4 linked regions of the Lonchura striata genome follow. The protein of the gene in region 3 purifies or fractionates together with the protein of the main gene of each other region. This does not show direct contact. Links are inferred from orthologs where the notes say so. Each region holds a gene or a part of one and is shown on either strand. Other genes may lie near its edges.

What was found. The genes of interacting proteins can lie anywhere in the genome.
Region 1: the proteins of YWHAE (region 3) and KIF1B purify together in Homo sapiens (affinity purification with mass spectrometry; 3 studies listed by BioGRID and IntAct, with this or other methods). This does not show direct contact. The link is inferred for Lonchura striata from reciprocal best matches to the Homo sapiens genes YWHAE and KIF1B.
Region 2: the proteins of YWHAE (region 3) and LMO7 purify together in Homo sapiens (affinity purification with mass spectrometry; 3 studies listed by BioGRID and IntAct, with this or other methods). This does not show direct contact. The link is inferred for Lonchura striata from reciprocal best matches to the Homo sapiens genes YWHAE and LMO7.
Region 4: the proteins of YWHAE (region 3) and FRMD6 purify together in Homo sapiens (co-immunoprecipitation; 3 studies listed by BioGRID and IntAct, with this or other methods). This does not show direct contact. The link is inferred for Lonchura striata from reciprocal best matches to the Homo sapiens genes YWHAE and FRMD6.

Annotation. Positions count from the first base shown.
Region 1 is NC_134626.1:1,576,911-1,585,057, forward strand, and holds the start of KIF1B (kinesin-like protein KIF1B), read left to right. Parts: upstream 1-4,984; 5' UTR 4,985-5,207; intron 5,208-8,147. Other genes in the region: UBE4B (ubiquitin conjugation factor E4 B), read left to right, coding at 1-167, 627-773, 1,090-1,148. UniProt on the Homo sapiens protein: Has a plus-end-directed microtubule motor activity and functions as a motor for transport of vesicles and organelles along microtubules.
Region 2 is NC_134604.1:49,535,835-49,543,697, reverse strand, and holds the start of LMO7 (LIM domain only protein 7), read left to right. Parts: upstream 1-4,700; 5' UTR 4,701-4,794; coding exon 4,795-4,863; intron 4,864-7,863.
Region 3 is NC_134622.1:6,747,400-6,755,306, reverse strand, and holds the start of YWHAE (14-3-3 protein epsilon), read right to left. Parts: upstream 3,608-7,907; 5' UTR 3,476-3,607; coding exon 3,412-3,475; intron 1-3,411. UniProt on the Homo sapiens protein: Adapter protein implicated in the regulation of a large spectrum of both general and specialized signaling pathways. Binds to a large number of partners, usually by recognition of a phosphoserine or phosphothreonine motif.
Region 4 is NC_134608.1:2,452,616-2,460,206, forward strand, and holds the start of FRMD6 (FERM domain-containing protein 6), read left to right. Parts: upstream 1-4,428; 5' UTR 4,429-4,534; intron 4,535-6,652; 5' UTR 6,653-6,771; intron 6,772-7,591.

The DNA.
Region 1 (8,147 bases), on a different chromosome or scaffold from region 3:
CAGTAAAGAGCTCTTTGAGGAGGTTATCTCCAAGATGAGGAAGGCTGGAATCAAGTCTACCATAGCAATAGAGAAATTCAAACTGCTGGCAGAGAAAGTGGAGGAAATCGTTGCCAAGAACGCCCGTGCAGAGATTGATTACAGCGATGCTCCAGATGAATTCAGAGGCAAGTGGAGTCTTCTAAACCCTGCCTGTCTAGGAGAGAGGGATTTCATTTGTTGCAATGATTCCATATGCTACTAGAAACTATATATTGCTTTTCATAAAAACATCTTGCCTTGCATCTTGCTCTATTTCAATGACGTATTTAAGTAAATACAGAGCTAAGAGTTTTTTTAGTTTTCCCTGGGATTGTACTGTCCATGATTGTCCTAGCCATGCTTTGCTAACATGTACCTGAAAACAGTAACACCCCCCTACAACTGAAAATAGGGTGACAATAGGGAAAGCTTAGTCCCAGGTCAGAAAGGGGAAAGTGCTGTGAAGATTTATGTCCATTTAACCATTTTCTCTACCTTCAGCAGTGTACTGGGGACCCTGAGCACTGGTTTTGCAGTGTGGGTTGATGGGAGATAACATTTGTAGCTGTTTGCTCACTGTAATGAGGAGAGCCTTGTGCCCTCAGATCCACTGATGGACACTCTGATGACCGACCCCGTGCGGCTGCCCTCGGGCACCATCATGGACAGGTCAATCATCCTGAGGCACCTGCTGAACTCCTCCACGGATCCGTTCAACCGGCAGACGCTGACGGAGAATATGCTGGAACCAGGTACCGTGGGACAGCTGGCACGTGGGCTGGGGGCAGCAGCTCCTGGGCAGCTCTGTAATTCCATAGCACAGTGCTGAGGCCTCAGCAGAGGTGACACTTCTTTCATTTCAGCTTGCACAGAAAAGTTCATTCCCTCTCCTTTCCCTTTTTCCGGGGCAAAAAAACCCTCACAGCCTTGCTTTCTTAACTCCTGGGCTGAAATACATCATGGTATATAAATGGGAAAATGGCTATTAGTCATGAGGGACTTTCTTATAGTACTATTACCAAGTAATTTAATAATTCTTTTCTCTCTCTTTTTTTTTTTCCTTCCTAGTGCCAGAACTTAAAGAGCAAATCCAAGCCTGGATGAGAGACAAGCAGAATGACCATTAAAATTCCCTTGCAGTGCACACCACCACCAATGGGCAGAGCAGGGCGTGGGCTGCTCTGGCAGGAGTGCAGCAGACACACTTGGGAGCTGTTGATGGATTGGCATGCCCACGGCACTGGCTCGCAGTAGTGACCACAGGAGCATGTGGACGAGGAGGAAAGCAGCTTCATTCTTGTACATATATTTAAGTGATAACGATGGTCAATAACATGGAGGACAAGCTAGGAAGTTACTTATGTTACAAAACTGTCCTCCAATATGTCACATTTTGGAGTTTTTACAGCTGAATTATTTTAGCAAAGACAAATGGATCAGGGCAGCATCCCTTCAACCTTGTTTTTTACCGCCAGATATCCGTTAATTTGATTGTGGTTAGAACCTTGGACATTTTGCTGCTAAAGTAACTTTTTTCTTTCCCTTCCTTTCTTTCTGTTCCACCCATCAAACCTGCACTGCTGTCTTTTCCTTCTGTAATGCAAAAAAACATAAACCCTGTGAAAATCAAAATCATTCCCCTGCCCTAAAAAGAACATATTTTGTGCGATAACTGTGCCTGCAACAAAGTGTTCATCTTGGGATCGTATTTTTATATTACACATATTTGCCTATTTGGTTTTTAATTGGTGTTAGACACAAGGATAATTTCAAAAGAGCGAAGACTTCACGCGTGGATTTTAATTTACTTTCCTTGAGATGTCCCTTTCCTTTATGTTGATCAAGATGCTCTGGTACTTGTGAAAAGCCTTGAGATAGAAATGTGTTAAAACAGCTGCCATGAATGAGATGCTTGGGAATACCAGGATTTCAGTGACTTTAAAAAAATAAAATACATTCTTTCAATGCTGCAGATCAATGCTAACTGACAGTTCTGAGCCATTGGAGCTTGTCCACAGAGAGCAGATACCTTTATCCCTGGAGGCTGCAGTTTGAGGCAGGGGTCATTTTTTATGTTGCGTACCAATTTGTATCCATGGCTTGGCCTTACCAAAGCAGAAAGGGTGCAGGAAATGTAGAATTACGTTTTTAAAAAAAATAAAAAAATATTCACAAACATTTTTATATTACTGCCCCCTGCATATGATACTTGAATTTCCTTTTTAAAAAGGATTTGAAACCACAGTGTTTTAAAATTAAGTTGGAAAAAAAAGGTTGTTTTTCTTTTATTTGTTTTTCGCCATGTCTTCTGTTCAATTCCTGACTCTCTTGAACTACAATAAATGATACACACTCGCACAGGATGTTTCCTTCGTCTTTCTTGTAAGAGTGTTGGTGAAAATATAAAAATTAGAAATGATTGGGTGTCTTTGTTCAGGTTTGCTGATAGTGATTTAGGATCTGGAGATAACTTAGTAAATTATGTGGAAAATTTCTGTGCACACAGATACCAGTAATCCTTTACATTCAAGAATGTTCCCAAGCAGGTGCCACTGAGCACCTATTCATAGCTCCGTGACAGCTGGTGACAGCTCCAAGGGAAATTCTGGTTAGTTTGTATAGAATCCAGCATTGACCTTTTAGGTGTGCAAATAACTCTAAATTATAAAATGTGAAGGTACAGTTGTGAGTTGTATCTTTTGTTTGTTTGTGGGTTTTTCAGTGGTACTTCCTCTTACATCATGAATGTGTATTTCTCTATAAGGATGGGAGAAGATTCCAAAGCTTCTGTCTGCATCCACTGCTGCAACAGAGAAGCTTGTTTGTTGGTTTGATAATTATAACCTTCACTTCTTCCACAAATTCCAATCCCCCTCTTCTTTCTCTTCAGTAAGTTCCAGATCAAAACCTGCTCTGCTTTTACCTGCAGGCTCCCAGTCAAGCACCCAAACCCAGCAGAGATTCTGATGTGTTACAGGTTGTGCTGTGTGTTTTCTTCTTTAGTGAAGAGGCAATTTCATTCTATATAAAAGAAAAACTTACATATTCAACTGTCCCTTCGTTATTGAGGATTTTTGTAAGAAATCTCTAGGAATATCCCAGAGTTTATACTTTTTTTTTATGAAGGACAGCTGTTCTGTAGTGAATATGTGTTTTTACTAGAAGATGATTAAACTGGCTTCACCTTATGGGTTTTTTCTGCAAGTGCGTATCATATCTTGCTTCTATTGATAGATTATAAAGTGAAAATTTTATAGTTTTGGGTTTTGCCAGGAGGAAGTAGACATATTCACATTTGGTGTGGGATGTTTTAATCAACACAATGCCCTTTAGAATCTGAATTTATATTTATTGTGCCATTGTGTCAGACTCTGACCTGAGGAATATAAATAGCAAAGTGCATTACTGAAATGCTTTGTCTAATTATGGCATACATCTATCATTTGAAAACATGTCAGTGCAGATATTGCACAAAGGCTTGTGCAATATCTTATCAGACACAAAGGCATGATATAAGTGGCCAAAACAATTTGATCTGGGAAACGAGCATCAAGTATTTCAAAGGTGTGAGCTCAGACAAGTGTTCTCCCAAATTCTGCAACTGTGAGCAGAATAATGAAATGTATTTTAATACAAGCTGCTGAAGTGCCATTCTATTGTGAATCAAACCCCTGTCTTTCAGTGGGTAGTGGACATTTGAGTGACTGAAAAGCAATGCTGAAGCTGGATTAAAAATCAATTTCCCACAAAAGCATATCGGTTGTGTGACGATTCTTAGTTCAGTTAATTAAATGCTACCTGCAGTTTTTGGTGATTTCCCTTCCCCTCACTACTATGTCATTTACCTTTTTCAATCCAACTATAATACAGAGTTTATATGAGAGACCACAGAAACTGCAATACAGAGTTCATATGAGACATCACAGAAACTGCCAGTGGAGGGATTTACGTTTGACCACGTCCGTGTGTGTGCAGAATGTCAGTGTCTCTGAGCTGGGAATGGTTTACCCCAGCAAAGGCTAACTCATACTGCGTTACAAAGTGAGCTTTCCTTGGAATTTACTGTGGATCGCCGCTCTCTCCTTGTCCTGCAGCTCTACGCTAGAGACTGGAGAAGTTCCTGGGGCAAGCGCTGATGCTGTAGAAACACAATTCAGGACAATTGATTCTATTGTATCACGATTTATCCTTGTAATGGCCCAACTGACATATCTCAGTTCTCCCTGCCGGCAGCTGTTAACAGCAGCATGCCAGGCAGGTTAATTTAATAATTTGCCCAAAATACATTATGAGGTCTAAAAAAATGACTCGGGCTGCTCAAGAACCGTTTTGAAGGGAGGGAGGAAAGATTACTAATCCCTTCCCTCTGAGCTATCGCCCTTAGGCCTAGTTTAGGATCCAATCCCACTGAATACACGGAGTGGGGAGCTGGGGAATTCGCTACCTCAGACCCCGCGTTCCCACAGCGAGAGCGCACCGGCGGTGTCCGGGCATTTCATCCCGTTTGCCCGCACACTGGCGGTGTCCCAGCCCATTTTATCCCGCTAATCCTTATACCCCGCGGTGTCCCGGCCGATTTTATCCCTTTACCCGCACCCTGGCGGTGTCCCGGCCGGTTTTATCCCTTCACCCTGACACTCCCTCCTGGACCCGCCTCCCCTCACGGCTCGGGGCGCGCACGGACACAGCGCGGCGGGCGGTGCTGCGGCCCCTCTCCCGATAGGCTCCGAGGGCGCAGCCGTGATTTGCATAGCGGGTTCCGATTGGCTGGAGCTGCGCGGCGGAGGGCTCTGTTCGGAGGGCGGTGCCGCTGCGGCCGGGCACCGCCAGGCGGCGCCGGCGGCGCGGCCGGCTGTGATTGACAGGGCGGGGGCGGGCACACGCGGGCTCCGCGGAGCGCCATTGGCGGGCCGCGCCGAGGGGGCGGGGCGGCGCGCGGCGATTGGCGGAGCGGGCGCGCTCCCCCGCGGGGCGGGCGCTCCCCCCGCGCTCGGCAGTGCGGGAGCGGCGCTGGGCGAGCGCGGCGCCCGTTCCTCCCGGCGCGGCCTCGCTCTCCTCCTCCCCTTCCCGCTCCGTTCCCGGCCGCGGGGGGGTCTCCAGGCCTCGGTGGAGGCGGCGATGGGGATGGCCGGGTTTTTGTCGCTGCGCTGCCCCGCCGGCTGCTGACGCCGCACCGCCCGCGCCAGGTGAGGGGCTGCGCTGAGGGGCCTCTGCGCTGGCGGGGCCGGAGCGGGGCTGGTGCCGTAATGCGGAGGGGGAGGCGGCGATGCCGCCGTGCGCATCTGTGGGGCCCCGCGGAGGGCTGAGGCCGGGAGCGGGGGGGATGGACGGACGGATGGATGGGTAGACAGACGGAGGGATGGATGGATGCTTAGCGCTGGGTGCTCTGGAGCTGTCAGGGCAGCGGCGCAAGGGCGTGGGGCCCCGCTCGGCCTTGCCATCTGCCCGGTGCCATCTCCTCGTCCCCCGGGACGCTTCCCTCCCTTCCCTTCCCTTTCTTCCTTCCCTTCGTCTCCCTCCTTCCTTTTTCCCCGGGCGGCTCCTCGTGGGCTGGCTGCCGCCCGCCGCGCTCCCTTGGCTCGGATGGGCGGAGGCGGCGGCGCCGCTCGGGAGGGGCGCGCCCCGCGGGGCGGTGCGGGAGCGGCGCTCGGGGGCCCGGCCCGGCCCGGCACGGCACGGCACGGCACGGCACGGGCAGCCATGTTGGCACGATGAGCCGGCAATCCCCGTGCCCGGGCCGGGCCCGGCGCTCGGGGCCGCCGCCGCAGCGGGGCCATCGCCTGCGCTGGAGGATTCGCCAGAAGCAGATGGTGAACTTATGTCTGCTTTCTGGAATGTAAATGCGTTCATACCAAATTCTAAATTCTAGACGGGATTTCTCTTCGCTTCCAGCTCCTTCGGAGCTCAGTTCTTTTTGCTGTTGCACAATCCGCTGTTGGTAAATAGCCATGTGTGCATGTGATCAGGTTTCAGTGCCTCGCCAAGGTCTGCAGCGCTGTTCGATCTGGCATCTCCACCTGGTCCCGATATAGCAGAGCGTGTGTGTGAGTTCAGCTGGGGGATCATCATCACACTGTCAGCACTGCCCGAGCTTCATGCGGCACCTAAAATTGGCTCTGCTGGGGCCCCTTGGTCAGATACGCCTGCTGCCCCAAACAGCTGTTTTGCCAACTTTCCGTGTGCTAATCTCTGTCCTTGTTTTATTTCTTTAGAGCTCTTGCACTGATTAAGTTACAAGCCATTTTTTTGTTTCAAAGTTAGCACATTTTGTGATTGCAGATATGACACAGTTATCTGGTATATGATTAGTTCTCTTAAATAAAAGTGATTCTTTATTTATGATACCTGGTGGGTTTGGGTGGTTTTTTTTTTTTTGTTGAATGCAGTAATACAGATTTTGAATGTTGTTTTGTAACCACTTTGAGCTTGTTGCAGACTTCTCTGCATGTATAAATAATAATTTGAATCTAAATCCCTGCTCTGCTTGGAACTTTACTTAAATAAATAGCAATGTGTTCGTATTTTGACATTGCATAAAAACTGGTTTGCCAAAACTTTAAGATACATCCAAGTATTTCAAGTCTTAATGTTTATTCAGATATTTTTGTGAAAGCCCAGATCTAGTTGAGCCTGTGAAGGATGATTCATCAACACAATTGGGTTTGTCAGCTTGAATACCAATAAACACGAGATATTTTGATTATTTCTCTTAATGACACCTTTTAATATTAAAACCTCACCGTATGACTTACAGGATGGGTGTCTTTAGTTTCAAATAGTTGAAAAACTAGGATGTAGGATTTACTATTTGCTGATGAAGCTCACTAAACAACTCAAATGTCATCTACCACCTGTTTTGGAGCCATTGGTAGATCACCTCAAAGGCACACACGCAGTTCCCTTCTTGGTTCATGGCTGGATTCATGCAGACTGAACATTAAAAGAGACACAGCTAGTAGATTCCTTCCAAGACATTAGGGAGATGATTCATTCTAGCATGGATGGCAGCTTTCTAAGCCTCTAATGAACATTTTAAAAAATTGTCTTTTAAGAATATTGTTCTTCTAAATCTGTACCACAAACTGTATTGCACATTTTGCTTTTCTCTTTTCAAGTTATGTTTCCACTCTGTAGTCAGCGTTTTGTAGTAGGAAGTGGTACTACTGGTAAATGTGATCCCTGAAAAACCAGTTGCAGTTTATTATCTGTAATGCTGTGTAACTTGGGGCTCATTTTGCTTTATTTTACCATTCTGTGTGATGAGGGCAGTGCTACCTTTATAAATTGCTATGACCAGTTAAGATAACTGGTAAGTGAAAAAAACCTTCAAAACCCCAACAGCTTAAATGTATGGAAAGCTTGGCAAATTATGTTTGTTTTGGTCAATTTTCTTAATAAATTGCACAGTGAATTGATATTCAGAACATCTGAAATCCATGTGCAAATACGAGTAGGTGTTTTGCTTACTTCAGCTATGAAAAATAGCAGAGTTGAGAACAAAAGAGATTTTAAATGATACCACATTTGATTTTCCGTCAGCACAAAAGTTAGGGTTGGGAAAAATTGGTAACTGCAGAAGTCCAGCAGGTAGATTTTGATGTTGCAGATGATTTTGTGATCTGTTCTGTGAGAATCTCTTCACAGTTGAGTTTCAAACAAGTCTGTCATTTAGCCTAGTGCATATGGAGTCTCTGGAAATGTGACTTGCAGGCTTTCTTATTATGAATATTATGTTTAGAGATACTTGAGAACATAAATATATATATAAATATATATACATCATATATATATATATATATATATATATATATATATATAAATATATAAGTAGATGATTTCTTTCATCCCACTCTATATGTGAGCTTCCCAGATATATCTGCAGAAACTAATGCAGTGTTCTGAGAGTTGTTTTTATGAAAACATCAGAAAAAATTCTGTGTGGGACTCCACAGTAAGAAGGGAGGACAAACCCCCTGCATTTCATAAACAATATTGTAGAACACATTGGACAAATTAAATTGTGTCACTGTGAACTTGACAGAAATGGCCGTTTTGCACCTGACAGATTGTTAAATAGGGTTTCATAAACAGGGCTCAGCGTGGCCATGTACAGTGACATTGCTGTT
Region 2 (7,863 bases), on a different chromosome or scaffold from region 3:
AGGAAAAATGAATGGGGTTATGCCAGAAGCACTCTGGCAGAGTTTTCATTCTTTATAGAAAAGAAAGAGGCCTGTGAGTCTGTCTTATCACTTAAGAACATCTCTTGCACTCTAAAGAAAAAGTTGGAGTGTCTGTCTAAAACATGTCACCTGGAGCATCCAGTAACAACAGTCTGTTTTCTATAAGTGAGCTGGTTGGAAAACCAAAGGAGAATAATAACATTAATGAGCTTCTATTTTTGAAGCTTTTGCTTTTTCACCCCAATAAAATGTAGTATCGTTAAGACTTCGTTTATGTTGCCATGCTCATTAGTGAAGCCCTGAAACTTGCTTTTAAAAAAAAAATCAGAGGCTTTAGTAACCAAACCATCTGTGTTGTCTTCTAGCTAATATCATCAAATAAAGGTTGTCACCACTGAATTGGGATATTGCATATTTTAAGCAAATGGTGACTTGGAGGACTGCCTCTCAAGTAAGCCGTAGTTCATCTAGCTAAGGCCCTTTAAGGATAGAGGACAGGGTGAAGAAGGAGAGGACGTGCAGTTCAAAGCTGTTAAACAAGTTACATCAATTGTCTGCTCTAGGGAAATAGTCTCATCGTTTATGATCTTCAGTGTTCAGAACATTTCAGTGGGTTTAAGTAATAAATGGGTGTCTTTCCTTTTGTGCAGCTGTTTACTGCAAAATCCCTTCAGAAATGGAGCTCGTTGTTGGGTACACGGACTGCCTAGACAAATTCAGGACAAAGATAATAAGGTTAGAATAGTAAATTTGGGGTGGGAATTTCTGTAGTCGTGCTGAAAAATACATCTTGAATCTTACGTAAAAACCTATAAATAAGAATTCTTCATAGTTTGACAATATTTTAGTTTTGCTTAGCATCTACATAGCCTTCAAATCAGTTGTTCTGCAAGGTAAGGTTTCCTTTTATTTGCAGTGTTAATTTCTGGTTTATTAATATGTAAGATGGTACATTTTAATGAGCACTCTTTGAGATGCCAAAGGAAGAGCAATGCACTAGTTTTCGTGCTGAACTGTATCTACTCACTGCATGGTCTCTTGGTAGAAACTGTGAAAGGCTGCACTGCAGAAATTCATGTCACCCAACATATACAGTGTAACAGCCTTCCGGAGCTTGTGAGACCATGGCACAGGCCTTGGCACTGTCTCAAGTAGCACAGGAAGTAAAGGGATCTACAAGCTGCTGGAATATCTCTGTCATTGACATAACCTGTATAACACGGATAAAAAAGTGAGGTATGAACACTTGGCTGACTTGTAAAGTCAAGCAAGGTCCTACTTAGAGGCTGATAAACCCTGCAGACTCCATGGTGCTTTTGGCTCTGTGACGCCCCAATGTCTGCATCATCGCCTGAGCTGTACAATCTCTTGCTTATTAGCTCAAGCTCTGTGGGAAAATAACACTGTATTTTCTACCTTGTGCAGCCCTGCCAGAGCCTCAACAGCTTTGTGTGGAGGAGCATGGCTTGGCCACGAGCACGCAGTGTCAGGAAATCCCTCTTCAGCCTCTGCAGTCTGGGCCACCTGTATACAGCATCTTATGGAAGTGGTGTGTGTAGGAGTGAGGTGATGCATGCTCCACACTTACATTAATTTTAGCTGAGCGGAGCTGGTGTGCTATTAAGCACTCAGGATTGTTCAAGGTCTTTTAGGTACATTGGTGCAAGTTTTCCTATGTTATTTACAGACATTTTTTTAAGAAATCATAATTTAGTAACCAGTACAATGCCCTTTCCTTTCAATCATGGCTGCATGATTCAGTTAAGAGAAGAAGAAAGTTGTTTTCTGATAGTGAAATGTATGTTTTGGAAAATAAAGAGACTTAACAGCCCACACTTAACAAAATAAATATGGTCTTTCCTTAAAGAAAGAAGCCTGCCTTGGTAGAAAATATTATTGTGTCAAATATGTGTAGAACTCTCCTTGGAAAGAATATGACGTAAGCTGTTGCTTGAATTATCCCTAGGAGCACACACATTGAAAGGGTTTATTTTTGTCAAGTAGAACAATATTACATTTGCTACTTTTGACAGCAACAATTAGCAGTCATATCTGATATATGTAATCTTTCTCTGATCTAGGACTCTGGTGACTTACATTGTTAGCACAAAGGAATAATAAAACTATTTTGGTTGCTTAGGCTTACATAGATATTTTATCTGTGACAGTTGATTTAAAATTCACTTTGAGGATGAGATTTACATGTTGGAGCTTTTTTTACTTAGTGAGGAACTTAGACTTGAAAGTTGCTGTGATCCATGCAGTCTACTTAAGCACTTAATCAAATTACATGATAACTCAAATTACTTGAATTACTTGATATAAAACATTAAACGCTTCATTTGTAAGAAAGGTGATTTGATTTGTTACAAAGTGAAATAAAGCAAGCAGAAATAAGTGAGAAATGTGATTTTTTTAACATTACCTCTTTTGAAGCCTATTTTATAGAATTCTTAGTTACTTTCTCCTACTTAGGGAGCACTGTACTCTTAGATGAAGTGAAAGTCCTTAAAATCTGGAGAAAGGCTGCTGTAGTTCTCCAGAAAAATGTTTGGTAACCTCAGGTAATGCAAATTGATGTCAGCCAGCAGCAGCAGCTGATACATATTTTATTTAGACATTTTAAACCTTTGTAATCATGGATGTTAAATAGTGAGATGAGAGGGTTGTTTTCTGATGTTCAGGCTTCCCACTGAAGAAAAATGCAGATTCTTCATTTGTATTTGGTCTTGTGGCTGATCTGGCTTGGAACAGGAAAAAAGGGTAAGAAAAAACCCCTCAAAATTACAGCTTTCATATTATTCCTTGCTGGCTCCATAGCATAGATGTCTCAAATCATACCATGGTGAGGAGCTAACTACATAACTTCTATACATTTGTAACTTTAATAAATGTCAGATATCTCCCATGGAACTTATTTCAGCCAGTCACTGTGTTTTCCCTCCTGAGTCTACCACCTGATTTTCATACACCGTAGAAATTGATGGCTCATAGCTTCTTGACTTGTTGACCTCCTAAATTTCTCCTCCCTATTCTGAGGTTTTCTGTAACAAAAGATGTGTCCCCAAGTCAACATCTCAGGAGAAGTGAATTTGTGTGTAGTACAAAAGCTTTAAGTTATCTTTTCTCAGTAGTACTTTAAAAATTACATATGTTCTGCCATGGGCTATAAAAGCAAAACGTGTGCAGTGACTGAGTTTTACTTACAGAGAAGATATGGAAAGAAAAAATACTACAAAAAGTGCAAGCAGGAAAAGATAATAGAATCATGAAGGCTGGGAAACACCTTTAAGATCATTGAGTGCAATGTTAAACTAACATTGCCATATTCACCACTAAACCATGTCCCCAAGTACCACATCCACGTATTTTGAACACTTCCAGGGATGGTGATTCCCTTACATCCCTGGGCAGCTTGTGCCATGTTTGCATTGAAGAAATTTATCCTTCTATCCAATCTAAACCTCCTTAACTTGAGGCCATTTCCTCTTGTCCTGTTGCTTGTTACCTGGGAGAAGAGATTGAGCTCCACCTCACCACAGCCTCCTTTCAGGTAGGAGTAGAGAGCTTAAATACAATGTCAAAATGAAATCTAGTCAAAAAAATCCCACATAAACCAAAGCCAAAGCACAACAACTTATTGCTGGAGATTAGTATTACAGGAAACGACACTTTACCCTGATACTTAAATTTTTCTGCTTAGCACTTGTCCGCCCCTGCATTGGAAGAAAGGATTTTACTGTGTTCGTCCAGCAAACATCTCCCTCCTGCCCCCCGTGCTTCTGTCAGGGCGGCTGAGCCTTTGCTGCAGCACAGCGTGATCCCAACCTGCCCCACGTTTGTGGTCACCGCAGTGGGCAGAGCCCAGCGCAGCTCTCACCCAGGCCCACGGTCGAGCGGTACTTAGACCGGGCTTTAGCTCTGAGCCTGGGATAGCGTCTGGGGTGGACGAGTCGCAAAAAACCTGCTGCAGTGAGCGGGGCACAGGGACACGAATGAGCCAGAGCAATGGGCGCTAGTGTGAGTAGTGTGAGCTAAACCAGAGTTGAGGCCAGCGGGACTGGGGAGGGAAGCATGAAAGCCGAGCCGCGTGGCTCCAGCTCAGCCGGGGCACCTCCGCCTCGGTCGCTCTGTACGAAAAGCGCCCGAAACAAAGCGTGGGTCTCATGTTTTCCGCAGGCTCCCAACTTCGTCCCCAGACGGGACAGCGCTGCAGAGTGTGGAGCCGCTTCCCCGGGATCGCGGCGCTGCCTATGGCCGGCCGGGGAAGCCCCATCGGTGCGGAGGCGAGGGAGGCGGCCCGGGCTCCCGCGGCCCCGCCGGAGGGAGGGAGGGCGGCGGCGGCACGCTGGGCAGTCCCGGCCGGGCGGGGCGGCAGGTGGCGGGGGCCGGGCGGCGGGACCGGCCCTGAAAGGTGCGATTGTCCCCAGCTATTCCTGGTATGCGCCGGGGCGGGAGCCCCGGGGGCGGCCTCCCCCGGCCGGGAGCGCGAGGGGCGCCGCGTCCCGGCGGGAGGGAGCCGCCACCGCCGCCGCGGGGCGCGGCCCCTCCCGGGCGTGCGGTGCGGCTGCCCCGGGGGTCCCGGCGCTGCCGCACGGCCCGCGGCTCTTCGGATTCCTGCGAGCTCCCGGGAGGGGGAGTTCCGCGGGGAGGAGGCGGAGGGGGAGGAGACGGCGCGGGCAGCGTTAAAAGGAGGCAGCTGAATGACAGCGGCCGCTGCCGCGCCCCCGCCCCGCCAAGCGCCGGCCGCCCCCCGCTCGCTCGCTGCTGGCCATGGACGGGAGAGAGGACGCGGAGTGCGACTTGCAGGCGGCGTTCGCCGAAGCCCGGCGGTGGGTGGAGGTGAGGTGTCTCTCGGTGCTGCTGGGTGCCAGCCCCGCGTTCCCCCGGTCCCTGCCCGGGGCAGGGGTCCCGCCACAGCCTCCGCACGGCGGAGCGCGCTGCGCGCTCCCGCGGGGCTGCCCCGCCGTCCGGCAGCAGCTCCCGGGACGCGGCCCCAGACCTGGACTCTTCGTCGGCAGCTGCGGACTGCTATTTTTGGAAAGTATCGTGGCAACTTGCAGAAATCTGTGCAGTATCGCCACCGCCCCCTCCTCGCAATCCAAATTAAAGGCTGGCTTGGTTGCCCTCCTGTCGTTAAGGCTTGTAATTTCTTGCCATCTTGTAAATGACTTCTGTAGCGCTTGCTCCGAGACAGTCTGAATTAAAGGCACTCCTTCCTGTCTCGAAAGAGTTCAGGACAGAGAGTAACCTGAAATTAACACTCATTTTCTTCTCTCCTATTTTGAAACATGATTGTCTGACATAGCGCTTGACGTAAATATCCGTGTTTCTGTATGATTACCCGAGTCACACCGGTGCGCTACGTGCTAAAGCGTGGGGAGAGGGTTGTTCCTGGATGTACCTGAGTTTTGACCAGGGCAGCATCGGCTGAGCGAGGAGGCTGATGACTTGGAAGCTGAGAAATGTTTGCAATATTGAACAGCCTCCCTTAGAGTCGTGTGCTTTTAAAGAGGAGTTTTGGAGCGCTGATTTAGATGTATTTTAACATATTAAGCTTATTTCTTTGTGCCTAGTCACTTAAGATGAAATTTAGTGTTGTTACAACCACTATCACAATAACTTTGGAAGGAGGAAATATTAAAAAAAGGATGTTTGTTACTTTTTACCCCTCATCTTTACAAGCTTGTCAAGACCCGAGTTCAGGTTTCTTTGTTTCCTCTGTAAAACAATGACATCTAGTGCTTAAAATCTATTGAGAATGTTGAACTGAGAGCACCAAAGGCAGGGGTATCATAAATGACCTCCACAAGTGTCATTTTCGTGTCCTCTGTGAATGTAGGTAATTACAACAGTCCTGGCTTCCCCATGTGTCAGTGTTGTAAGTTTTGTAAGAGTTAGCTGTAAGTTTAAGCAATTAAACCATTCCTCACTCATGCATACCTTTCTTGCATTGGTTTCTTTAAATTGTCAAAGCTTATTTTAAAAAGCTTCATTACAGTGATTTAATGTTGTCTTTGAAAATCCTATTTTAAGGGGTTGGGGATTTGTTTCAATTATTTTTTGAGTTCATATGATACTGGCTGGTTGTACCATTCCTACAAAAGGTTTTGTGTCTTTGCCTGCCAGTAGCATGTGGGAGCTCTAGCAAAGAAATGTGAGTATGTAGTGTGCACTGTTTATGTAGGGGAAAAAACATATGCTCGGCTTCCCCCTTGCCCAGTCTAATTTGTGTGGCTCTCCTTTGATATGTGAAAGCTGTTCTCATTTTAAAGTAACTTTTAAACTTACCCCTTAAAGGAACAATTTACTGTAAAGCAAGTAACTTGCAAACCTTAAGGTATTGACAAACAGGATGCTCGGAATTCCATAATGTTAAAGGAAGATGTAAATATTTATTTCCTTATGAAATGAGGTTTGTGTTTCAGAAGAACTGTTGTGTTTCTCTGCTCTTTAGATCCAGATGGCTTTAAAATCCAAGTCTGACCATTTCCGTAGTTGTATGATATTTTTAGGGTAATGAGGCATGTCCCAAGGTTTTGTGAGTCTTGGTGGAAAAAGTGGTGTATACATGATAGTGAAACTTGGTGAGTCCTAATGATTAGTTTTGAAGATGAGGCAGTTTTTAAATATTTACAAACTTGAACTTCTGATGTTTTGGTAAGGTTTTGTGTACCAGCTTCTCCCTAACATTAGAGATGAAAGCATACAGACACTAGCTACTATGTATTTAAAGGAACAAGCCAAAATAGCTTTGTAAACTGTTACTCTTTCCCTTTGCTAATGAAAGCTTTGTTAACATATTTCTGTATTTCAATGGAGAATTTTATGGACTCTGAGACTTAAAAAAACCCCTCCAGCCTTGAAGCTGAGTGCTTTTTAGTAACTGGAATGAGCAGCTGTATTTGTCAGATCCCAAGAGGAGTAAAAAATATCCCAAAACCATGAAAAAATATTGCCCTATATTTTTTTGAATTTTTTTGTGAGAGAAAACTGTGTCCTGGTCAGGTTCCTTTTCTACCTGTTCCCATCTGAATTCTCAGTGCTGTAGGGCAGCCACTGGCTCATGGGAGCTCAAATATTCATTCTTAGTTCTTATGCTAACAAAGAAAACAAAGCAAACCAATAATTAAAAAAAAACAAAAAAAACAAAACAAAAAACACAACAACCCAAAACTAATTAATCCCCAAACCCCCCACTCCCAACAATCCAAACCTCCAAACAACTTAAACCAAAAAAGTGCAAGAGCTTGATTAAGAATAATAACAATAGAAAATTGCATCTGATATCTGATGTTACTTAAAGGAAGACTTTGTTCTTTAATTCAGGTTCATGTTGAGGCATATTTTATGATAATGCAGACAAAGAATGTCTGTAGTCTTCACAGTGCAAAGACCTCTTAAAGTGTGGTCCTCAGGCTCTCCTGTTTCATGTGTTGGGAGCTGGGAGGGAATGTTGCTTGTTAAAAGAGTTGGAGTCACTGGGGGAGCTGCCTGTTGAGGATGTCTACTTCTTTGGGGGAAGGAATGGTCATTTTATGTACAAAACTCAAGCTCTTCTCAGGTGTCCTTTCTGCAGAAGCCAGCACTGTTTAGTGGTGTTGGCTTCTTGCATCTGAGACTTTTGGCACTTTCTGAGCTCTGCCTGGAGCAAGTGGTGCTGATCAAGCTCACCCAGCCTTCATTTGGCACCTTAGCTGGACAGATGGTGCATGCTGAGAGTAAAACACTGGACTACCATGACTTGGCAATAGTTTGTCAAAGAAGGAGAGACCAAGGAGAGACTTCATCACAATCTACAACTTCCTTATATGGGGAAAGAGAGGGCAGGCACTGATTTCT
Region 3 (7,907 bases):
GACAGCAGTCACACCCCACATCACTACACCAGTAAGACCCTTAACAGGCTAAGTGGTAACCATGAACAGGGAGAGGAACCCAAAAAACTGAAGTGTGCTTGACATCTGCTTGAAAGAGACCAATCCTCTGCAAACCAAAATATGCAAGCTGAACTCTAATTCATGACTTATTGATTCCTCATTAGGCTCTAAGCTGAAGATCTGTTACTAAGAGACAGATCTTACTAAAAAGGGTTCAAATCCTGAACTGAACCCACTGCTGTACATGTTCCTACCTTCCTGATAAAGACATTTCCCTGACAGACAATTTCTAAAGACAAAGAAGGCAGCTGTTAGCCTGCTGTGCTGGAGGCAGACGTGTCCTGGGTGGGCTGGGTGTTTTCCTTACCTGTACCTTGACCTATTCTCTGGTTCTGAGGGGGGAACCCCACCTATTCCACCTCACTCAGGTAATGTACTTGAAGACTTGCAGTATAAAGCAGCTGTTGGAAGTACCTGCTCACAGACTGCCTTGAGTCTTAGCACGTTTCTCACCTGAAACAAATATGTTCCCAGTTTCCACAAAGAGGAATTGGTTTCAGTATTCAGCAGCACTCCACAGTTCTCTACATCCTCTTGATATCAAGACCTCCACAATATCATTTACTCCAATTGTTTTCCAAGAAGGAGTCCATTTAGTTATAAATTACTCTACCAGTGAGGAATAGCAGTGAGTTAAGATTTCTCAACAAGCTTCCTGCACCACCAGGAAGCTTCCTGGCATTTTGTAATTTGCCATAACATGCCTAAGCAGATCTGTGACCATAGTCAGACACCCAAATCTCTTAATATATCTCTGGAGATCAGGGTTTAAGTGCTACTTACACTGCAAAAGTACCTAGAAAGTTGTCCTCTTAATCTGGGCCACCATCCTGAGGACAGTACAGACACTGGACTAGATTCCCAACCGTTCACAAATGCAGCTCCCAAGACTTCAGAAATTCCCTAAGTGGGTCAGGCAAGTAACACCAAAGAAGCCACAGTTGGATGCCCACCATAAGTGCTGCTATAAATGCCATGAGCCATACATAAATAGCAACCCACCACTCTTCCAATCTCCAGGAGAAAGATGGGACAGAAATTTACACTTACCCTAATGTTAAACACAAAAAAAATTGTCAAACTTGTCAAACTCATATTTTAATTACCCAAGGGACTTGTATTCCAATGTATCTGCAGCCAGTACTTACCATCACCCCATTTTATATGTGCCCATCAGTAACTCTGGCCTTGTAATTGTGCACCTCAAAGATCATACTGAGGAGCAAAATTAGGATTACCTTACCCTTTCCTCATATTGCTTCTCAAATCACTTTGTTCACAGAATTATTCAGCAGTCTCAGCTATGATCTTGGCAGAACTGCATTATTTCACATTAACAAGAACAAATTATGCCAATCATTTTTAATTGTTTCAGCTGAACAGGAACAGAAAATTAAATGATAAAACAGTATCTACGGTACATTTTCTTCCAGGCCATGGACACGAGGGAAGTGAAGATGCATTTAGAGCAGCTGGCAGAATTATGTTGACCCAACCTGATTTTTAAAACCTCTGGAAGTCCAAAACCCACAGCACTGATTTAAACAAGACAACTTCAAGTTGTAACAAGCATCATGCCCATTCAGAAACAATACAGCACAACAAGTCTTCCACATTTTGCTCTGGGCAGCTTGTTTAGCCAACATTCATGGTACTGGGAGAACCCAGGGAAACGCTGCACCAAGGCAATAATCCTTCCCAATCAATTTTTATCAGCTGACAGGAAGTTTGCATTGCAGATCTGTGCCACAGGGTAGAGTCCTATTACCTTCTAACAAAATGATTTACTGCTGACTTCAGAAAACCCCAGAAAGACAGTCATGCCTCAAGAGCTCCCAAGGATGATGATTCCTCCAGGATGTTTGGTTTCCACTCAAACCAAAGCCAACACTTTCAGTGGCACTGACTCATTCATACCAGGTGGAGAACCTTTCCTTCCCTCCTCAGCAGAAGTTGCACACATTCTGTGCAATATGCATGTGTCCCTCTGCACAAGGTAATTATGGTACCCCAATACTTGGTTTCTGGGAGGCATTTTCATTCTCCAAGTCTTTCAGTTATTGCAGAGACTGCCTGACTGCTTTCCTTTAGTGGTACTATGAATTCTAAACTATTTTCCCATCAGAGCTCTAAATGAATGGAGTTTTATTTAGGCCTTCTTTTTGTTTTAGTTTCTCTTTTTCTCTCCAAAACGTGTATTTTTCAGATGTTCTGCAATGGTGCCATCGGATGTTTTTTGCCATCAGATGTTTTTTAAGCACAACTCAGTAAAAATGTGTCATTTGTTGAGAACTTGGTCGTGTTGTCTACAAAAATTTTTGAACAGAAAGCATTTGGAGTGTCTTCTTACCTCTCTAAATGAGGTGTTACTGCATTCACACATTCTATATACATATATTTATTTCACTTCAAATGAGTAATCACAGCTCTCAGGGCAAAGTAACAGTCTCAGAAGAGTCGAGAAAATTAAAGGTCCTTTCTATTATATGCAGGGGAACCATGTTTAAAAAGAGAGGTTGCAAGACAGACATTTTTGGGGCAAGAGACACCACCCAGGGTTGCCAGTTCCTCCCCTCTACCACTTTTCCCCCAGATATTAAATCATCACGGATATTAAATGATCAGGGATAGCACACAAACTTAGAGGGGTGGGAAAAGGATAAAAAGAAAACGCTGGGTAAGTAAAACTACCTGTAATAATTTCTACCACATAATGAACGCGTTTTCTTTAGGCAGTGAATCATGTACTCGCTCCCTGCAGGGTGAGAACTCGCTCTCTCTGGGTTTGCCAGGGGCAGCAGGATCTCCAGCGGGGGTAGAGGCAAAAAAGAAGCGCAGCCCCGTCCCCGGGGACCCCCAGGAGCACGGCCGGAGAGGGGCCGAGCGCCGGGCTCCCCCTCCGGAGCGCTCGGCATGGGCGTTGTCTGCGGCGAGCCGCCCTCGCCCGGCGCCGCCCGGCCGGGGCAGCGCGGGGCCGGGGCCGGCCGGACCGCCGTGAGGGACAGCGGGGTCTCTTTGTGGAGCCCCCGAGGCGGGGGCGGCTCCCCTGCCCCCCCTCCAGGACTCGCCCTTCGCGGCCGCCATTTTATTCCCGGCTCCTGCCGCCACCGCCCCCCGCCCCGGGCCCCGCCCCGGCCCGAGACACCCCCTCGCCCGGGCCCCCCATCCCCGCTTCCAGCGGCCCCTCAGGGCGCTCCCCGTCGCCATTTTGTGTGCGCCCCCTCCTCCGCCCCTGCCCCCCTCCCCCGCCCAGCCGCCATTTTGTGGCCGCTCCCTCCCTCCCTCCCTCTCCCCTCGGCCGTGCACGGCCTCCGGAGCCAGCGCGCTCACCATCGTAGCGCTCAGCCTGCTCAGCCAACTTGGCCTGATAGACGAGGTCCTCCCGATCGTCCATGTCCTACGGGCGGGGCGGCGGCGGGGACTGCGCGGGGCGGATGGCAGCCGATGGGTCCGGGGGGCTCTGCAGCTACCAGCTCGCTGCTCTCCGGGCAAATATGGCGGCAGCGCCTCCTCCCGCTGCATCCGGGCACTCCCGCGGGCGCGCGCATGCGCCCCGCCGCCTCCCATGGCAACGGCGGCTCCCTGGCAACGGGCGGGGGGCGGGGTGAGGCGGCGTGAGGGGTGTGAGGGATAAAGGGAATGAGGCGGCGTGAGGGATGAAGGGGGTGAGGCGGTGTGAGGAGGGTGAGGGATAAATGGGGTGAGGCGGTGTGAGGGATAAAGCGGGATGAGACGGGATGAGTGATGAGGCGGTGTGAGGGGTGAGGCGGGATGAGGAGGGGTGAGGCGGTGTGAGGGGCGAGGCAGAGTGGATGAGGCGGTGTGAGGCGGGGTGGGTGAAGCGGTGTGAGGGGTGAGGCGGGTGAGGAATAACGCGGGGTGAAGGATGAGGCGGCCCGGCAATGGCGGGGATGGATCCGCCGTTCCCCCGCCGGCCCTGGCGGGGCCGTGACCGGGACATGGCGATGGGCAGCGGGCCCGGCCGCCGGTGGCGTTTCCCTCAGGGCGGCTCCATCTCTCCGCGTTTGTGCTGCCCTCAGACGCTGACAGCGCTGTTTGAGTTACCCTCTCTCGGAATCTGGGTACAAATCACCGCGTGTGCTGCACATGGAAGGGTGGATCTGTGACCGAAAGGCAGACGGACAGATACAGGTTTCTACAGCCTCTCCAGGGTATTTGCTCTAAGTATCACCTCCAGTGCATAGCACGAGGTAATTTCAGTTTCAAGAGGCTAGGAAATCTAGAAAGCAAATTTCACAAGTTCCTCACACAGTACTTCTGAAAAACAAAAGGAGCATTCACTTAAATAACTGAGATAATGCCTCAATTTCTGGAATTAGAATGGTTTTAGAAAAAGAAAAGGGATTATGCATGGCTGGCATGAACTTGATCTTCAAAGATCCCCATGCCTGCAAGTGTTCAAGTCCAGGCTGGATGGGGCTTGGAGCAACCTGGTCTCATGGCATGGCAGAAGAATTTGAATGAAATGAGCTTTAATGTCCCTTCCAACCCAAACCATTCCATGATTCTATGATTTGCTCAGGGTAGCTATGAATGAAGTCTTGTCTCTTTCCCCAGTGTCTCCTTGGAAGTGCAGACTACAGATGCTCTCCCATCATTTCACTGCTGGGAGAAGTGCACAGAGACCTCTGCAAGTTTTGACAGCAGAGACAGAGCTGCCCCTGGCACCTGCTGGACACAAAGTCAGGTATCCCCATTTATTGTATTGTGTGCACTGAAATGGGCTCCTGATGGGTGACTGAGGGCACACACCTTGAACACCATTCAAAGCACATTTTTTCAGTAGTTTATTGCTGGCCTGACTTATTTTTTTTCAGTTGATGAACAAGAGTTTTAGGGTCTGCAAGATCAGCATAACCTTATGTTTTTCTTACAAATAAATCTAAACATGTGACAGAATTATTTTTATATCACTTACTCAGAAAATAAATACTCTGTTTTCAATGGATACTTAGGCCCTCTTTTTCACAGATCAGGATCATCTAATCAGGATTTCTTAAAAACAAAGACATCATGGACTAAGGTGAAAATTAGGTGTCAAGTCCAGAAAAATATTTGCTTCTTTAGATTTATTCGAAGTAAGATTAGAAAATGCTGATTTTTCTGAAATTGGGAATCATTGTAAACCTTTACTTCTGAATTGCTGGTAAACACATGATATAAAGTTAGGTACTCAAAAGGTCACAGTACTGCACAGTCACTATCTCTGTGTAAATTTTTAATACTCACAAATCACTTCTGTACTCTATTGACCATAGAAGTCTATTTTTCAGCAGAAACTTGGGGAGCTGTGCACAATAAATTAGATTTGGATCAATTTAGGAATTTTTCTGTGTTCCTTGTGTTCAGCAGGCACTCAGGTTGCAGGGAGTTCAATAATATCAATAAATCAGGACACTTCAAGAAGATTTAATTGCCAGAAGTGAGATGCATTCTTAGTACCCTTGCTAAATAATAGCATATTGTCTAAATACTTTGAATTCTTTTGAATGCACTCGTTACAGATGGCATTCAGATATTTGGAAATTGGTCAGGGATTTGGCAAAGCATGAGGAATAAACAGCCTAATCCAAGGAAATAAAGCACAATTTGTTGATGCAATCCTTGCTTGCCCTTTGCCCCCTGAACTTTCACATTAATTCATTCAACTACTGCTGCAGCCAGACCCCAGTTCAAAGGAGAGGGAATGGAAAAGGAAAAGCAGTTTTCTGCATGAGCCCTGTGCTCCATCAGCTCAGGGGAGCACTGCAAACACCAGGGCAAGGTGAAGCAGGAGGGGATGGCTGGCAGGGCCCTGGGGAAGGGCAGGCACAGCCTCTTCCTTTTGGCTGCAGGGTGCTCTGAAATTCTCTCAGCTAATGCATTAAAAGGCACCTTTGCATTGCAGCCCTGCAGTGGTTGAGCACTGGAGCAAAGCTGGGGGCTTCCACCAATGAAGAGGTTTTTTTCCATCTGCAGCTGATAGAATAATCTTTACTGTGTGGAGACACATCAGAAATTCTTATCCTTGGGGCCTAAGGGCCATTGTCTCCTTGCAGTTTTTAAGGAATAGTGTGGCAAAAGTGGCTTTAATGCAATTGATGTTACAAACGTGCCCCCCATGGGATTCTGGTCCTGATTTTCTGCCCTTCAGCCCTTGACAGCACCTGCACACCTCGGCTTTTCACTGAATTAGTGCTCTCACACCACAACACATAAAAACAGCTCTTCTGAACCATTTGTAGACTCCTGCAGGAGATTCTTGATGGTATTAATTTGTGTAATTTTGTTTTCACTGATATTTCTAAGAATATATAAACAGCTTTTTATCTTCCCAAACATCCCATCCAAACAATCCCCAGGTTATTCCCTGATACACTTGTGCAGGTAGAATTGAGATCAAGAGCTACAAAATCTCATCTTAACATTCCTCACAATTTTTTTTTGAAATGAGAATATACATTTCCCCCAACACCTAGACTCATTTAATTACAGAAAGTCACCATCTTTCAAAAAAAAGCCATATTTTATTGTTTGATAAGTTAACTTAGTTACCTTGGTTTGGCTTACTTCTGTAGTGCCGTTTAATTATTTTCATACTAACATGGCCAATTAAAAATGACCATACCCCCTCTATTTTTCATTATTAAATGCAAGTACTCCAAAAACTGATTGAGAATGACTGAGTCAAAGTTTTGGCTATACTTTTATTTACTTCACGTACTATGAACATATACATTACATGCTACAAAAAATAAAAAAAGGACTTTAACTGTCAAGAAAGTGGATAGTGTTATAATACAATGTCACATGTTCATATTTTTCTTCAAACAGGTTTGGTTAGAATCCTTCCCCAAAACCATTAACAAAAAGGAAGTGTTTTACTCTTAAAGATGATTAGAAATATTTGCATTATTAACAAATACAATTCAAACAGATTAACAAGATTTAACCAGGTCATATATTAGTAAAAAGGCTGGGGCTTACCAAAATGAAATATATATTAAAAAACCATAGCAGCCAGTTGTAATTTTTAGTGTGATATAATGTGTAAATGCACCAGAAGAACACAGTGTAATTGAGCATTCTGCTTTCATGGTGTATTTCTAGAAATTATTATTCTAGTTCTAACACCTGCCTATGCACAAGAGACCAAAACCACAGCCAAGGAAGAGACAAAAGATTGTGACCAACATTCTGAGCAATGATTTTTTTGCACGCATTGGGGAGAAGGGAGGGAACAAATATGAGGATAAACAAAGGCCACAAAAGGATTTCATCTATATGTTCATGGACATAGGTTCTACCTATTTGCCTTGAAGAGCCTGACAAGTTGAAATGTCTATTTTGTCCAAATTCATACTCCTTTCTATCACCTATGAAACAAAATCACATTTCAGCTTAGAACTGAAGAGTGGAAAACAGTTGCATTAATGTATCAGTCAGCTAAAAAAACTGCTTAACAAGAACTTGGGATTCTACTGTAACAGCAGCTATTAAGACTCCTCTAGTTTCTTTATTTTGCTCTTTCAAAGTGTACAAATATTCACAATTTATACAGTCTTAACAAAAGCACATCTACAAAGTTTGCAGGGTACTTGCTAGTTAATTCAATTCATGTCTTTCATATTAAAAAGGCAAGGTTTGCATAATAAAACTAACTGATATTTTGGTATATGAATTCCTGATTGGAAAGGTACAAATACATGGGCTTTCATTAACTGCAGTTGGCAAAAATACTTCAAACAGTGTCACTCTAAGGAGACACTGTTTATTAGGTTTCTTTTGCAATACCTGAAGAAAAATATAAGCATATTATGGGCAAC
Region 4 (7,591 bases), on a different chromosome or scaffold from region 3:
CTGCCCCTCCCTGCTGCCCTTTCCTGCTTCACACCACAATTCCATGGGGTTGCAGCAGCTCTGGCAGGCTGGGAGCAAACTCTAGGAATAACCCCCAGGCCCAGAGGCACGAAAAAACCATTTGGGACCCCCACAAAACAGAAAGGATGGGAGGGGGTGAAATGGGCTTTTTAAAGAGAGAAATGAGGGTGGATTTAGGAATGGGGCTGTGGGAAGACCATAGAAAATCCCTGCCCACCTCAGCCTGAATTTTCCAATATTTTGGGGACAAACCCCAGCTTGGTGGCCCGGGCTGGGTGAGGAGCTGGGGGGGTTGGTTTGGGGGTGATCCCGCCTTTCCCTCCGGCCATCCCGAGGAATTTCCCGGGCTCCAGTCGCATCCCTGCTGCTGCTGAGGAGGATGCTGGGCTGGGGGAGCTGGAAATACCTGGGGCTAGATGAGCAGAACGCCCCGGATCAGCTCTTCCCTGCCGGATGCACAGCTGGATTTCCTTGATCGTTCCAACACTTGGGGATTCAGGCTGGATTTTCTCCTTTTCCAGCCTCACTGGGTTTAAATCTCAAGCAGCTCCTTTTTATTTTCATCCTTGCCGGCTTCCCAGCAAAGGCTGGGCATGGTAAATACAGAGGGGGATTTTTGGGGGCTAGTTAAATGTAGCAGCATCCTCCCTCGGCTAAAATCGGATGGAAACAGCTCCCCTGGGAGCATCCCCTGAATTCCCAGGGGGCCAAGGGTGGTTTGGCTTTGCCCAAATTCCAGAATGCTCAAGGAGCCATCCTGCTCTCCACCTGGCTCCTGAGCTGGGGTGTCCCCAGGCCACTCCCAGGGATGCTCCCCCTTCCCCAGCACCATCCAGGGCTGGCTCCTGCACGCTGGGCATCGGTTTTCCCAAATTTCAGCTGGGATGGATGGAGCTGGAGCTGGGGCAAAACCCCTGAGGAGGGGTCCCAATGTGTGCTCAGGCTTTTCATGATTGATTGCTATTATTAATTTTATTATTAACTAATCAGCTCAGGCGTATTAATTCTACGCTCAGACTTTTCATGATTGATTATTATTATTAATTTTATTATTAACTAATCAGCTCAGGCGTATTAATTCTATCACATTCAAACCAAATTGAAGCTGAGGTGAGATCTCTATGAATTGGGTATTTGAGATCTCTATGAATTGGGTATTTATGGCCAAAAATCAGGAGGAATTCTCCGAAAAAGCCCAGGAAAAGCTGGAGAGGGTCCCTCCAGCCTGTGCTGGGGGGAACAGGGACTCGCCCAGCCCAGCCTGGGTAGGGAGGGAGGGAAAGCTTCCTTGGAAATCCCCGTGAAATGCAGGAATGGGAGTGAGGTCCAGCTCCTCTCTGGAGTTTATAGCAACGCTCCGGCTGTTGTGGCTCCGCGCCGAGGATTCTTTATTTAATTTCTTCCCCTTATGGGCTGAGAAACCTTCCCAGCCCCAGCACAGCCCGCTCACAGTAGCTGGGATTTGTTTTCCTCTCTTGTCCAGGGAGGAATTTCTAAATCCCAGCTGCAGCCAGAGCTGGAATATGCTGAGTTGGAAGGGGCCCATCGGGATCGTTGTGATGCGGTGCCAGGTGTCACCGAGCAGCGGTGACACCCCTGTCCCCAAATGCACCCCACAAGGCTTGTGGCCAGCGCCGAAATCCCTGTGCTGCTGCTCCAGGGTAAATTTTCCTAGCAGGACATCCCAAAAATCCCTAGAAACGGGTGCTGGGCACTGACAGCAGCAATCCTGGGCTGGCACAACTGATGCATCAGCCTTTGGGAAGGGAATGGGATGCAGAGATGTGTTTAGTTGTTATTTTGTTGCTTTTGGAATAATTTTTGTGCCTGAACAAAATGCGAGGGACGCTGTGAGATAAGAGAGCTCCCACGTCTCCGTGGCCGTCCCTGCCAGTGACAATGCCAGCATTGAAATCCTGGGATGGGAAACACTCGCCTGGTGATATGCAGGATCACAGTGAGCTGCTGCTGCTTCCTGTCCTTTCCATCTAAAACACATCCAGCATGAGAGAAATCCGTGTATTTTATGGGAATGATATTTTCAGTCATAACCACACCACCTTTATATTTTTGGGGGTTTTTTTAAAATTTTTTTTAATCTTTTAAATTATTATTATTTAGGCCTAGAGATGCAAAAAAAATATTATTATTATTTAGGGGCTGGAGATAGGCCTAGAGATGCAAAAAATCACCCAAAAAAACAAAACAAAACAAAAAAAAACAAAAACAAAAAAAACCCCACCCCAAAATAAAAAAAAAAACCACAAAACCAAAAAACAAACCCACCCCAAAATAATTCACATTTTTTTTTCCCATTTCCCATCTATGGTTCCACTCTTGGGATCTTTGAGGGAGATGAATTCCAGGATTGCGAGAGAAATGTCACTTTTGGGACTCTTGGGGTTTTTTCCTCTCGCAGGAGAGGAGAGGCAGAGCGGACCCTGGCTGAGCTCCATCTTTCCGAGCTCTCCCCACGCTGCAGCCTGGGATGGCTTTTCCTGGACCTTCTCCCCCGGCCCCGGGAGCATCTCCCGTTCCAAGGAGCCGGGATTTTTTCCTCCCCCCGGCTCTGGAGCGGCGTCGCGCCCGCGCCATCCACGTCGGTGTTTATACATCGCCTCGCTGGCATCCCAGAGCTCTTCCTGCTGCTTTATTTAGCCTCTGCGGCAAGGCAGGCGCTGGGTTCCTGCATCCCTGTGCTCCACAGGCCTCGGCATGGCGCTGGGATGTGCTCAGCAGGACCCACTGGTCCTCCTCAGCACCGCAGCAACGGGGCCGGGTCCCGCTTGGGCCGCCCCACAACCCGAAAAATGATTTGTGGCTTCGGAGAAATCGGCCAAAGGGAGGCTTTGCTTGGCTGTCCCCCGTGTTCGCTGCAGGGTGGGTGTTTCCAGAGGGAGTTTTTTGGGGGAAAAAATGGCATTTCTGGCTGGAATGACAGGCTCTGCTTGGACAGGATGCTCTCCGTGCCCTTGGCAGTGGCACCAGTGGCTTTGCAAGGACTCGAGCAGGAGCTGTGGGGTAGAAAGCCTCTCCCAATTCCAGCTGGCATGGACAGGGGGATGAGAGGGAGCCCAAACCCGAGGGATACCCAGCCCCAGCTCTGCAGAAAGCCAGGTTGTTTTTTGCCATGGGGAGAGCGGCGTGTTGGATTCCCAGCGCCGGTGCCGTGCGCTCCCATAATGTAATTACCCAGCAGGATCTGCTGAGCTGCAAACAGATTTCAGCAAGGAGTGTCAGGGTGTTCACAGCAGAGCTGCTCTTTATTTAGGGCTGGGAACAAGCGGCTCCTCTCTCCCAGAGGCTCGGAGAGACTGCGGGGGCCGAGGCGGCCTCGCAGGTCAGCCCGAGAAACGCCTTTAGACAGTTAAAAGTGAGGAATAAATAACTCCTCCAAAAACAATCTCGCCAGATGGCACTTCTGAAGGAGGAGATGCTTTGCTGCTAATTTATGGTGCTGCTGCTGTTGCTATTCCGGGCCTGGGGTCACCTATGGAGAGGGATCCGTGCGTGCATCAGCCCCAAAGGGTGGCCAGGCCTCACACGAGCGAGCCCCACTCACCTTCATCCAGCTGCTTGTGGGGGATTTAATGGGAATGGGGTTTAATTCTGCTCCTGCCTCAACCTGAATCTTAAGAACTGGGATTCTCCGATGTCCAAGGGCTGGGGATACTGGGATGGGTGTGGGGTTCCCCTACACAAGAGAGTTGGGACCCCCCCAGAGGACATTCGAGTCCCTTCCCTGGGAGATCCTTGAATCCCAGGGTTGTTTGGATTAGAAGAGACCTTAAAAAACATCTTGTTCCAACCCCTGCCATGGCAGGGACACCTTCCACTGCCCCTGGGTGATCCCAGCCCTGTCCAACCTGGCCTTGGACACTTCCAGGGATCCAGGGGCAGCCACAGCTGCTCTGGGCACCCTGTGCCAGGGCCTCCCCACCCTCCCAGGGAAGGATTTCTTCCCAATATCCCATCTATCCCTGCCCTGTGACAGTGGGAAACCATTCCTTGTATCTAAACTCCTTCTCCAGTTCTCTTGGAGCCCCACTGGAAGGGGCTGTGAGGTCAATCCAACCCCCAGCTCTCCCAGCCCTCCAGAGCAGAGATTCCCAACCCCCGGAGCATCCCCAGCCGGTCTCCTCTGCAGGATGCTCCGCTCCGCTCCCGGGCACCTTCGGGCGGCTCCATCCCGCAGGGACGGAGCCCGTGTGCCCTCCCAGGGGACGCGATGCTCAGGCTCTTCCCCGAGCCTCCTCCGGGGCCAGCACTCGTCTCTCCCGGCCGGGGCCACCCCTCTCCCGACCCCTTCCCCGCTGTCCCGGGCACGGCGCCGGGGCGGGAGGCGGCGCCGGTGCCGCTCGGGGCGGTGCGGGGCGGCCCGGGAAGGGGCGGGGGCGGCGGGATGGGCTGGGCCGGGCTGGGCTGGGCACGGCTCGGCTCGGCACGGCGGGGTTCGGCACGGCTCGGCGCGGCTCGGCACGGCTCGGCACGCAGCGCGCTCCCGCAGCCGCAGGTAGGTGCGTGCCCGGCGCCCCGCACCGCGCTCCCGGCTCGGCTCAGCCCGCCTGCGCTCAGCCCGGTCCCGCTCCGTTCCGCTCGCCCCGGCTCGGCCCGGCCCGGCTCGGCTCGCCCCCGCGGGGCCGTGCCGCGGGTGGGCCCGGCGCGGCCGCTTGTTGCGCTCGGGGGGCGAGTTGGAGCCGGAGCGCTGCGAGCGGCCCCGGCTGCAGGAATGCGAGTCATTTCCTCCGCCCGCCCGCCCGCGGGAGCTGCGGCTCCGCCGGAACCCCCCACGGCCCCCACGGCCCCCACGGCCCCCACGGCCCCCACGGCCGCGACACGGCCACGGCCACCCCGGAGCCGCTCCGGCGCTGGGCGCGCTCCAGGGGCGCGCTCGCCCACGGGACCCCTCGCCCCTGGGTCTGAGCCGCCCACGGATCTCCTTGCCCGCTGGGTCACATCGCCCACGGGTCTCGCTCACCCTTAGGACCCTTTTCCGTGGGTGGCGCTCACCCACAGGTCCCCTCGCCCACGGGACGCGTTGCTTTCAGGTCGCACTCACCCGCAGCTCCTCTCAGCTGTGGGTCACCGTCACCCACGGGTGCCCTCATTCCTGGGTCACGGTTGCCCCGTTGGTCCCCTTGTCTCTGGGTTACACTCGCCCACGGGTCACTTCACCCGTGACACCCTTGACACTCACCCCCAGGTCCCCTCGCCCATGGGTCCCCTCATTCCTGGTTCACGGGTGCCCATGGGTCCCTTTGTCCCTGGGTCACAGGTGCCCGTGGGTCCCCTCATTCCTGGTTCACGGGTGCCCATGGGTCCCTTTGTCCCTGGGTCACAGGTGCCCGTGGGTCCCTTTGTCCCTGGGTCACACTTGCCCATGGGTCCCCTCATTCCTGGTTCATGGGTGCCCATGGGTCCCTTTGTCCCTGGGTCACACTTGCCCATGGGTCCCCTCATTCCTGGTTCACGGGTGCCCATGGGTCCTTTTGTCCCTGGGTCACAGGTGCCCATGGGTCCCTTTGTCCCTGGGTCACACTTGCCCATGGGTCCCCTCATTCCTGGTTCACGGGTGCCCATGGGTCCCTTTGTCCCTGGGTCACACTTGCCCATGGGTCCCCTCATTCCTGGTTCACGGGTGCCCATGGGTCCCTTTGTCCCTGGGTCACACTTGCCCATGGGTCCCCTCATTCCTGGTTCACGGGTGCCCATGGGTCCCTTTGTCCCTGGGTCACACTTGCCCATGGGTCCCCTCATTCCTGGTTCACGGGTGCCCATGGGTCCCTTTGTCCCTGGGTCACACTTGCCCATGGGTCCCCTCATTCCTGGTTCACGGGTGCCCGTGGGTCCCTTTGTCCCTGGGTCACACTTGTCCGTGGGTCCTCTCTCGCCCTGGGTCTCACCCACAGGCCCCCTTGTCCCTGGGCCACACTCACCCCACTGGGTCCCCTCACCCGTGGGTCACACACTCCATTGGGTCCCCTCACCCGTGGGTCCTCTGTGCCTGTGCCAGCTCTTTTCTGTGCCTCGTGGTGACCCACAGGTCCCCTCAGCCGTGGTTCCCATCTCTTGGTTCCCACAGCTGTGATCCTCTCATCCATGGATCCTCCTGGGTCACAGCCACCTCTGGGACCCTGTTATCACCGGGCTCCCCTCACCCTTGGGTGCCCCCCACCCCGTGGACGTGCTCTAGGTGCCAGCTGCTCGCTGGTGGTGTCACCCTTGGCCCTCTCCACCAGGAATGCGTATCCCTGCCACGTTCTGGCAGCAGCCAGGATAAATCCATGCAGTCCTAAGCCGGGCTTTATCTGACCCGGTGCCCTGGGGGCAGTGGGGAGATGGGGCTGAGCTTTCCCAGCACCATCCTCGGTGTTCCTGTGTCCTTTGACTGGCCCGTGGGAGTGAGGCACATCCCAACCCTGCCCTGCCCCTGGCCCCCTGCCACCTTCCTGCCATCTCCCATTCCCGAATCCTCCTCTCCCTGCTCCTCTCCCAGTGCCTTTCTGGCCATCAGGATGTTTCTCCCTCTCAGCCAAACTCTGCTTTTTCCAGAGGTGCTTCCGCGTGGCACCGATGGAGCTTTGCTGCTCTGCCTAATTCTGGGCTGCTTTGTGTTGGTGTTTTTCCACAGGGCTCGCTCTCCCTCTCCGAATCTTGGATAGAGCTGGGATTAATTCGAGCTCTCTTGCCTGAAAGAGATGTTCCGTTTAAAATTCCCAATCCCGAAGGCATATTGGAGTTTGGTTCTAGGTACTGGATTTTTTACTATCGGTTTTTAAATGGGTTTCTTTTCTTTTAAACTGGGTTTAGTCAGGCTCTTTAAACCCCGAGTCTGTAAGCAATTATTCCATTACATGAAAGTCAGGACGCTGAGAAAGATTAATTCAGACCAGATGTAAAAATAAATGTGAATTTGAAATTAAGATGATGTCAGTTCCCTCCTGCTAAAAAAAAAACCCGGCAGCCTTTGGACTCCAGATGGAGTATACAAACCATGGCGCTGGTTAAAATATCTGCCTGCTCCTTAATTGAGTTTTATGCTGTTTTTTTTCCCTCCCCCTTGACTGAAAAGTGGGCTTAGGATATTTTTCCCAAAAAGCTTTCCCCGATTGCGGCCGGGGCAGGGAAGTTGATGGAGGCTGTGGCGTGGCTGAGGAGCTTTCCCAGCTGGAAAACTGGAGAGCGGCGCTGCTGAGGGAAGACAAATCTCCCTCTGCCTGCCCCAGGATTAAAAAAATCAGGAACTTGGTTTGGCTTTGTTTTGCTGGATTTGGAGCTGGAGGCGAGGACGGGTCCCTGCCACAGAGGGCAGCAGGAGCTCCGGATAGTCCAGGCATGGGTTTGAATTTTTGGCATAAAACGGAGCTGGTTTTTGGGTTCTTGTGTGTCTGCAGAGCACTTTGCATCCCATTTTTCCCCCCTCTGTGTGCAGCAAGCACTGCACATTCCCCAGAGCGGGAATGGGTTTGGAGCCTGTGAGCGGGATATCGGGAATGGGGCTCCCCAGAAGTGCCTCCTACTGGGAAGGAAGGGTTTGCCCAGGGTCAGAGCATCTTGGGGATGTGTTGTT